2 linked regions of the Mus musculus genome follow. The protein of the gene in region 1 interacts with the protein of each later gene in a biochemical or structural test. Links are inferred from orthologs where the notes say so. Each region holds a gene or a part of one and is shown on either strand. Other genes may lie near its edges. The genes, in order: Stk26 and Cab39.

Region 1 (3,500 bases):
TTAAATCTGTATATGATCTTTTATTAAAATAGTAATTAAGGGGATCGTTAAATTAGCCATCTGAAGACACTTTTAAAAGTACTATTAAGAGTTTTATGGTAGGAGGAAGAAATCAGGATATATATCTTCAGCTATATAAATACAGTCAATTCTTAGTAACTTTTAGTTTCAATGGAAGCCTTGGTTATGTTCCAATAATAAAAAAGAACTATTATAAATTAATTAGAATAACATATCAGACCCACCCTCAAGAAAACAAACATCGAGGATCATAAAATTTAAATATTTATTTTTAAAATCCCCCAAACAGTGACATATGCTTCACATAGAAACAGGTCTACAGAACTAACGCTATAATGAGTAAGCAATACCAGCTGTATTTGGGATGCAGGCGTGTGGTACAGTTTTCCATAATCAATTTATGAACTTGTTTTTACTTTCACAAAAATATGAATGTCACCCATTATTCAAGTCACACAATTATTTTTAGAGCACTATGGAGAACAAACTGCGATTGAGTGTCATTTACAGCATGGACAAAAAAACTAAAAATCTAACCAAGTCATCAATTCAAGGTACAGTCAACTCAAAGCAACAGGTACAGGATAGGCACCAATGAAAAGAATTTTCTTGGCATACAATGTTCTGCCTTTCAAATGTTTGTATTTCTTTTTTAAAAGAAGGGATGTAATTGACATTTCAATTAAAAACTGCATTGGCTACTTGTACAATGTCTTTCCTTTTCACATTTGGCAGTTACACAGATATTTTAAAATGTTTCGTGCTAAGCTCAAATGTGAAGATGCAAACATTAAAATCATAACTGTCAAAATTAATCAGTACCAACAATTCTACATTAGACCTAGTTTAGCACTTAGGCAAACATAGTATATATATATATATATATATATATATGGCTAAAAAAGGCTATAACTCACTTAACAGTACCATAAATAGAACTGAAAATTAACTGCACAGTCTATCTTACTTTTATATGACAAGAAATGATCCTGCTCTATGGTATCTTCCTATGAGTTGGACAATGTTCATTTAAATACCCCTTCAGAATTGAACACACTATACTTATGAGTGGATAATTATAAACAAAAATGTATAAATAGTTTCTACAAAAATGCATTGCCACGACAAAATAAATGCTGGTTTAAAGTTACGCTCATACCTATTGATCAGGTATTTAATCACAAGACAAAAAGGTTGTTAAAAGTTTTCTAAATCCAAGCATGTAATATGTGATTTGAGCTGAAGATTTAAAGACTGAAGCCAGACCAACTCCACCATTCTCGGCTAAATGAGATTACTTTAAATGTTAAATAAGGGTTAATTGCTTCTTCCATCTGAAAGAGAAGATAAATACACCAAGAGGTACTTCTGCTGTTACATGTTGCATGGAAGTGCTTCAAACACAAGGTTCTCCAAGGTGCTAGACATGGGGCTGCCTGAATTCAGAACAACTTGCTAGGAAAGTCAATACTTTCTAGGTCTAGGTGGTTTTCTTTTTTTTCAAGAGCTTCTTAAAAACACTTGTTTTAAGAAGGTATTACTTACTTCCACCTCATTACAAATAGTCATTTTTAGAATATACTTGTGTGGGGGAAAAAGAATGCTTTTTGAAGCTTGATGATTTACAAACATTTAATAGTTAGGATGACTTTGAAAGACCTGTATGTTTATGAGTATACAGTTAACTAAAGATTCCAAACCAAACAGTATTCATTCCATGAACATAAGAAATAATGGTACCTAAAATTAAAAAACAAAAAACAAAAAACCTGTATCTCAGCATTTACTACAATACCGGCAAAACTATAGTATTAAAATTATTCCTTACAAAATAATCTCTTTAAAATACAAAATGATAATCACCATCACAAAATAGTTTAATAGCTTCCTCTAAATCTTCAATGTGGCAAAGATCCAAAAGGCACATGGAGCTCATGAGTTAAGCATTTATAAGGTTGACATAGCTTTGGTGGGTTTCTCCTGGTCCACATGAAACAGAAGCCAAAAGTAATGACAACAGATTTCTTAAGGGGATTCATCCGCAGAACACCTACAAAATTAAGACAATATAATTCAATGTATAATTATAAAAGTCATCTATATTTCTTACTCATGAACTGTACAATGTATGAAGAAGCCACATTATTTCCATTAAATCTTACATAGATGGATGTGTTAAACAATGTAAAAGAACGGTTAAAAATTCCTTTGTGTCTGATTTCACAACTTACAACTTGGCTTTGTTTGCAAATAAGAAGAGAACTGGAGGATTTTAAGCATGGTTTAGCACCAGAGTCCTGAGTAGGCTTTACTGGATGCAAAGATAATTAAGAGGGATTTTATAGGTCACGTATTTATTTTCACCGTGAGCTTAGCTGGCTAAGGAAATCAAAAGATGGGACAAGAGGGGATACAATGGGTTTAAAGTTAAATGCTGTACAACCATGTTAGAACTCGCTTAAGCTAATGAGTATGAATGCATACATACGGAAGTGTTGTTTAAGAAAAGAAATTTCAAATCAAATGTAAGAACTTTGTGAGCCAAATCAAAGTAATAGAAGACAAGACAGAAACTAAATGCAATCAAATGGCTCTATTCTTGTCTCAACTGTTTTCCCTAAATCTTTTAACCAGCATTTCAGAAGGGTTCAAATGGAGAAATTTTGCTATGGCAATGATGAGAATAGTGGTCTTTCTGCAAAGGCTAAGAGTACTGTCAAGAGTGAAAATGAGGGTAATGGTTCATGTGCCCAAATAAGAACATACTCAGTGACATTTTCTCTCATTTCATCCTAACAGGGAAAGACAGGGCAAAACCTGGGCTGTTTGGTTCAGTAGAAAACTACCTTCCCATATCTAAATATAGTCATTCCAAAAGCTAAAGTTGGGTTGGGGGGGCGTGGCTCAGTGGGGAAAGTCCTTGAAGTACAAGCACAAGAGCCTGAATTCAAATCTCTAGCATCCATGTTCGGGTCAGGTGGAACTGAGCCCATAGAACTTCAGCACTGGAGGGCAGAGAAGAATATTCTTTCTGGGCAATCACTAAACAGGGCAGGCTGCAGGTTCAATGAGAGGCCCTGCCTCAAAAAATAAGGGGGAGAGAAATAGAGGAACAATCCCAATGTTGACGTCTTTCCTTCCCAGGCCCATGTGAGAGATAACTCCCCACGTTTCTTTCTCTCCTGCACCCCCAGCCCTGTCTTTCTCTCTCTGTCAAAGAAGACGTTTAAATTTGGCAAGAAACAAATCTGTTTTCAAACATACAACTATCCGAATGTGATTTTGCAGGGAAAATGTAGGAAACAGCTGCATCGAAGTAACTTTATTACATCAGAAACTACCATCTAAAATGCCAACCGAAAATGACACTTCAAACTTACTTTTGAAATTTTTCGATTAGTTTCTTCACCATCTTATCTGTGATGCCAGGACAGGCGGTTTCAGCCACAGCAATACTTTTCTCAAGTTCTTCAATTGCC
Region 2 (6,891 bases), on another chromosome or scaffold:
AAAAATTTAGCCTGACTTCTGATATCATGATCAAAAAGTAATTAGCTCTGTAGTCAGCCCTAGTATAGACTATTTTTTAGTAGTAGAACAAAGGGTAGGTGGGGCCACAACAGATTATATTGGCCATGAATATATTCTTTTTATCATGTCCTTCTTTAATTTTCTTTTTAAATTGTGTACACATGTGGGTATGGGAACATGAGTTCAGGTGTCAGTGGAGGACAGGAGTGTATAGAGCCGGGGCTGTACAGGAAGTTGTGAACCAAACTGGATGCTGGGAACCCAACAACAGCAGAACTCAGGTCCTCTGCAAGAGCAGGTCACACTCTTAACCTCTCCAGCCCCTCAGTGGCCTACTAAAAGTACTCCTGCTCACATAGCAGAGGTCTGTGTGCCCGTCTCCACTCCTGGCGATCACATAAATGTATTCTACCAACCAAAATACATTCAATAAGCAGCAGTCAGGACCAAACCTTGATGAGAAGCTAATAAACAGACTTCTAACAAGAAGCCTTAAGGGAACAATGCAACCTTGACAGGTAAAAGCCTAATAAAACATTTAAGAAAACTTTCAGACTGGTTCTATTGGTTCATGCCCAGCCCTTAGGAGGCTGAGTCGGGAGAACTATCTGGAATTTTAAAGCTAGCTTGGCCTCCACAGCAAATTCCAGGACAACTTGGGCCAGAGTAAGAGGTTGTTTCAAAATGCCAATAAATAAACAAATATATAAATAAATGTACTTAATATATTTTTAGGAAAATATACACAGAAAAAGATCAGAAAGGAAATATGCAAAAATGTTTACAGAAACAAAATCTAAGTGATAAGATTAAGAAAACTTAAAGAAAAAAAATTCCCAGTCTATTTTGTAATTCTAGCACTTAGAAACCCAATGCAGGAGGATGACAGGTTGGAAGACCTGAGCTACACTGTTTCAAAAGATGGGGATGGGGTGGGGGAGAAAGGAGAGATGGACTACTGCTTCCATGTTTCAAAGAGTATGTCTTACTTTAAGAAACAAAAATTAGAATAAAAAGACAAAGTCTCTTACTGTGATCTAGCCGGCTGGCCTGGCCTGGCCTGGCCCTCCTCCGTCTCCAAAGTGCAGAGGCTAAAAGCGTTCACCACCACCACCACCAGCAGCAGCAGCAGCAGCAGCTAGATCTTACTTTGATAAAGAAAAATGTAAGACTGAAAAAAAGTATGATTTCCTTGTACATATAAGCACTTACAAAACCAATAGTAAGTTCTAAGGCAATTCTTACAAATCATATATTGTAAGCATTTAGTAGTTACTAATTACTTGCTAATTTTTTTAAACCTGTAAAATAGAGCTTAAAAACTTTCACTTCTGGCTCTCCAATATTTTCATAACTAAAAATTAACAAGAAATTTTTTACTTTTCCAGAAAAATGGTGTGTGTCCAACTGTCTGTCTAGACTGTTAACAGTTCAGTTCTTATTACTATTTTTTTTTTTATAAATCTACAGTTTAATGTTCAATTCCAACACAGGGATCCAGAAGTTCTGATGCAATTTTAGAGAACTCACCAACGCAAATGCCTTGTGTGTAGAGAAGGTTAATTTAGGCACCTCTTTTAATTACTTCAGATAAGCACGCATCTAGTGACACTTTCTACAAAAGGTATTTTCCTTGGCTTGGACATAGATTTACTTAAATATCCCGGAAGCTGTCAAAATCGACCTCAAACTGCATTATATTTAGGAAACAATGCTAAGTCCTGACTGTGGCCTTCTCTGCTCGCCTGTCTTTCTCAAGAGCGCCTTTAATATGCCCTAGCATACATTTCCGGCCTCATGAGTCACTGAAAAATGAGTTCTAAGTTTTCCGTGGAAGGTCGTTCAAACAGCTCCTCTACAGCATTCAAAGATCTGACTCCAAATGCCTCTTTAGTCTACCCCACCTATCACGGCACCCGGTGATGGAATTGGCAACATTCGCATGCTCTTTGTACCTTTGTCCTCCAGCTTTGTTGCCCCTCCACGCCCTTCTCCACTGCAACCCCCTTCTCCCGAATCCAATCGAGTCTTCTAGACCCGGTTTAGCACCGCCTCGCCCAGGAAGCCTCCCAGGTTCGTGGGAAGGCGGAAACGATCGACAGGTCCAGTCACCCCGGAGCACCTTTCTAGCAATTGGTAGTTCCTAAACGGAACTTATCTATCCCCCTCCTGCCTGGTATCTTAGCTATTTGTGTACTCGTCTTATCTCTCACATCACCGCGTTAAAGCTCCCCAGGGGAGGGCACCTCCCGGCCGGGTTCACCTCGGAGTCGCTCCGGCACCGGCACGCAGTCGGCGTTTTGGATTGCTCCAACCGAACCCGGGAACGCGCCGAACGCACAATTCCTAGCCAGAAATCAGTTAGGCATTTTCCTGAAAGGTCCCCTACAAAGATAGTGTCAGCGTCCCGCTAACAGTGAGGCTACGCGGAGCCCAGGGCTAGGTGCTCGGAGTCCCCGGAGCGGCGGGAGTGACAGCTGGCCGGGCCAGCTCTACCCCGGTTAGTTGTAGCCCCGGCCGGCAGGCCCCCGGAGCCTAGTACGGGCGAGGACAAGGGCGGCGCCCGGAGCTCCGGCTGCTCCGGGCCGCTCCCGCCGCCGCCACCCGGGAAAATGGAGGCGGGTCGGGCGGAAGCCGGCGGGCGTCCGCGTCGCGAGCAGGGCCGGGCCGGGGGATCACTCACCGGGCTGGGCCGGGCCAGGGAGCTCCCTCTCTGCTTCGTCTCCGTCCCCGTCCTCGGCCGCCGCCGCCTCGGGCTGCTCGCTCGGTCCCCGCGGCGCGGCTCGGACGCTCCGGCCCTCCGTTGTCCTCCGCCCGCAGCTGCTCCGGGCGACGGGCTCCCGCGGCGGCGGCGGCGGCTGCGCGGGCGGACGGTGGCCCAGGGGTTCCTGCTGTGGCCGCCGCGGTGCTGCGCTCGGTAGGGCTGCGGCTGTGGCCGTGAGGTCCCGCACTGCCTTCGCCTCTGAGGTTGTCTCAGCCTTCGCGCGGCTACTGAAGCCCCAGACTCTCTCAGGCCGCGCGGCTCCTGGCGCCCCGCGCCCAGCTCCGGCCTGAGCCCGGCTTTGACGTGCGCACTGCGCAGCCGCCGAAGGCGGGACGTCGGGCGGCGCCGCAACGCCCTCTGCGTACTCGGGCGCCCCCGGACGGCCGGGCGGACTCGGGACGCCTGAGTCGCCGGCAAGTTGAAGAGCTGGGGGCACTGAGAAAAAGCAGAAGGGGAGCTGGAGTCGTCGTCTATGCGCCCCTTACTTGCTAGTTCCTGGAGGAACACAGTCCACTTCCTCAAGTCTTAAAACTTTACATCTGCGGAGGGCTCAAAACTGTTCAAATGGGTTCTTTCATGCTTGGGCAGAACCTGTAACTTCACTTTGGCATCTCCTGACAGGGGAAAAAAAGTGATGAAATATTCCAAAGAAACAAGATCCAACAAGGGTACATATCCTACTTTTTCCAAAGTGGATTTTAGTGGTGCATGCCTGTAATCCCAACACTGGGAGGTGAACTCAAGAGAATTAGGAGTTCAAGGTCATCCTAGACTTCACAGGTTTAGGTCAGCCCGGGCTGTGTGAAAAACTCTGCCTATAGATAGATAGGGAAGCAAGTTCCATGAAGAAAGAAAGAAAGAAAGAGAGAGAGAGAGAGAGAGAGAGAGAGAGAGAGAGAGAGAGAGAGAGAGAGAGAGAGAGAGAGAGAGAGAGAGAGAGAGAGAGAGAGAGAGAGAGAGAAACAAGTGCCATGAACACACACCCAGAGGAATAAAATAATGCATTACAGAGATCTAATGACAGAGTCTGGAACTCAAAAATGCTACATGTGTGCTCCTTTGCTATATGCTTAACAATGGGACAGGATTTTGGACAGCTACAGTGTGCTAAGGAAGTGGTTTCCTGAAGGAAGCAAGGCGATGTGAGCCTCCTGTGAGAACTTCAATACTTGAGAGAAGCAAGCTATCCATAGGATTTGGAGCAGGAAAGGGCCAGGCTTTGGCGTTTTAAAAAGGTCGTGATCAGAGGCAGGCGAATTTCTGAGTTTGAGGCCAGCCTGGTCTACACAGTGAGTTCCAGGACAGCCAAGGCTACACAGAGAAACCCTGTCTCAAAAAAAAAAAGTCGTAATCACTGTTACTGCGATATGAAGATCAGAGTGAAGGGCCGGAGGAATTCCACAAATACAGTAGACGGGGGTTGCTGACACCCTATAGTAGGGCTCGGGGGTATAGCTCAGGCTATACTATAATTATGGTAGATTCTGGATTCAGTCGTGGGTAGTTTGTATGCACACAAAGAAAGCTGAGACAAAGATGAGGGAGATAGAGAAGATAACACGTATGAAGTATCCATAACAATAGAGAAGATCACTCAGACATGGGCTCAAGCCGATAGAAAGTCTCTATTACCAGCCAGTGACTACTCTGGGTGTTTGGGGTTCAAGTATAGTCCTGAGCCTTTCTCAGGTGAGTTTGTTTGTTTATTTATTTATTTATTTTACAACTCAATGGCTCTCCCCGCCCCCCTTTTTAAGTACACACACACACACAAAACCATATCCTGGCTTGTCACACCTCGGTTAGCAAGAACAGTCATCCAGTCTAGTTGCAGAACTACAAAAGCCAAAAAGCAAGATTAGTTCCTTTATGGACTTTCCCGGAACTATGGACTTTGATGGATTAGGTCTTTGTTCTCTCTTGTTTTTGGCAGGTATTGCTGCCTCTATCCTGGGTCTCAGGACCTGAATGGTACTTTCATCATGGCATCTGTTGTGCTAAGGTCTGGAAACCTGTTACACTATAATCCTAGTTCTAGCAAAGCAAAGACTGTAAATTTGAAGCCAACCTGATCTAAGTAGTGAGTTCCAGGTTTCTAGCGCCACATGGCAAGATCTTGTCTCAACACACCACCCCCTTTAATTTGTGTGATCTTGTTCGTATATGTATGTGTCTGTGTGCTCAAGCATGTGTCAGTCAGGTATAGTAGTAGTGCACACCTATAACCCTAGCCCTTGGGAGTGGTGGGGGGAAAATGAAGAATTCAAGGTCATTCTCGGTGATATGCAGTGACCAGACAGATATGTGGTGTCAAGAAACAAGCAAACAAAACCATTAGCATATTAACACTTAAAATCCATTCAACCAAGCATAGTTCATCTTGGACATGTTGAACACTTCTAGGGAAACTAGCCAGACTGGTGAAATTTCCCTTGCAAAGGGCCAAAGGCTGCACCTACCTTCTACCCACAGTTACAGAGAGAAGATGCCAGACAGCTTTTGATGGCCTCTTACAGAATCGGGCTATTTTCCATATTCTTCTATTGGGGACGGGAGGGCTCTGGAAAGCTGTTTCTACTAAACTATTTCTCGGGCCATGCCACTTTCTGGAAAGTTCTGCATCTTCATTTTGAAACATTCTCAGGGGGCCTTTGTTTTCCTGTGTGGTGGCCACAGAACACTGGGTTCTGTGCTTGCCTGGGCTGTTGCTGTTATTGTCTCCCTAGAGCCTGTGCTGGTCCTGTGTAAATCTCCCATCATGCCGTCTCTTCCTCTTCCTTGCTGATGCTGGGCCACCGGATGGAGGCACTTCCCTCCCTTAATTAGACCCTCTAGGAAAGGACTTTGGAGCCTGACTCATGGCTTCCCTCCCACCCCACCCAGTGCCTTCATTCACCTGGCTGTATCATTGCAGCTCACCCTATTGGATACGGTCCCTTTACTGTGCTATCCCAATGACCTTCACATCCACTGTACGTCAGCAGCCACTAGGCTAGCCCCACCCTGGACACTGCAGTTTCCACCATGGCTCTGCTCTTGAAGTTTGAACTCTCCAGCACTCCTGTTTGCCTCCCTTCCCATCCACCCACCAGTCCACACCCTCAGACTCACCAAACCTGCTCCAAATCTCATTAGAAATTTGTTTATTTGGCAGGTGCTTCTTGAGAGTAAACTAGGACCTCGAATTATGGCAGCGAAGCACTGGCTGATAGGTAGCTCCCCTCAGCGTCCAGGAAAGACACAGGCACGAATGGGCAATTACAGGAGAGGGAGGCAGGAAGCCTGTAAGAGACCTAGGACGTTGAATAATGGGGTTCATGTTTAAGGAGAAACATGAAAGAAGCACAAAAAGCATGGTGAGTTAGAGGACCGGCCTATGTGCAAGGACTTCTGTATGTGAAGCGACTTGGGGGTAGGGAGGAAGGGAATAGATAAAATTGGAAAGATAAGCAAAGCTGTAATCATTGAAAACCTATGTCCTCCAGTGCTAAGGAGCCTGGACTTCAGCATGGATGCTCTGGGAGGGTGGGTAGGTACACATTGAAACTTTGTCATTGAATGCTGCGTGCACAAGTGTTTGGTTTTTGTTGTTTGTCACTCCACCCCCACCCTCACCCCCAGTGCAGAGCTCAGGGTGAAATCCAAACCCAAAGCATTGTCCCTGCTGGACAAGCACCGTGCCACAGAGCTGTCGTCCAACACCGCATTCAGATGTGTACTTCGGAATGCAGAACACCTCTCTAATCAGACATACATGGAACCACAGGAGGGCCAGGATACAGACAGTGAGACCAGCAAGAGGCTACTCTCAAGTCAGGCAAGAGGTAATAGGGTCTGAGCTAGGGTCGGCCACAGTGCACCTCCTCCAGAGTCAACGTGAATCTGATTGATATTTGTAGAGGGAACTATGTAATGGAGATAAGAGAGAAGGAAGACTCCGGGAAGAGAACTGGCTTTGATCTGGGAAACTGTTTGGATGGTAGAGCTATTTACTTAGATGGGCATTATCTGGGAGCAATCAGAAGCCGGGAGGAAATCCAGGAAAGCAAGACTAATCAGCAATCTAAAGAAGGGTAAGAGGCAGGAGGCCTGAGGAGAACCTGCTG

What was found.
Region 2: the proteins of Stk26 (region 1) and Cab39 are reported together in a solved structure, tested with the Homo sapiens proteins (2 studies listed by IntAct, with this or other methods). The link is inferred for Mus musculus from reciprocal best matches to the Homo sapiens genes STK26 and CAB39.

The regions. Positions count from the first base shown.
Region 1 is NC_000086.7:50,889,871-50,893,370, reverse strand, and holds the end of Stk26 (serine/threonine-protein kinase 26), read right to left. Parts: coding exon 3,402-3,500; intron 2,072-3,401; coding exon 2,047-2,071; 3' UTR 273-2,046; downstream 1-272. UniProt on the Homo sapiens protein: Serine/threonine-protein kinase that acts as a mediator of cell growth. Modulates apoptosis. In association with STK24 negatively regulates Golgi reorientation in polarized cell migration upon RHO activation.
Region 2 is NC_000067.6:85,789,635-85,796,525, reverse strand, and holds the start of Cab39 (calcium-binding protein 39), read right to left. Parts: upstream 3,086-6,891; 5' UTR 2,705-3,085; intron 2,638-2,704; exon of another isoform or gene 1,552-2,637; intron 1,170-1,551; exon of another isoform or gene 1,053-1,169; intron 1-1,052. UniProt on the Homo sapiens protein: Component of a complex that binds and activates STK11/LKB1. In the complex, required to stabilize the interaction between CAB39/MO25 (CAB39/MO25alpha or CAB39L/MO25beta) and STK11/LKB1.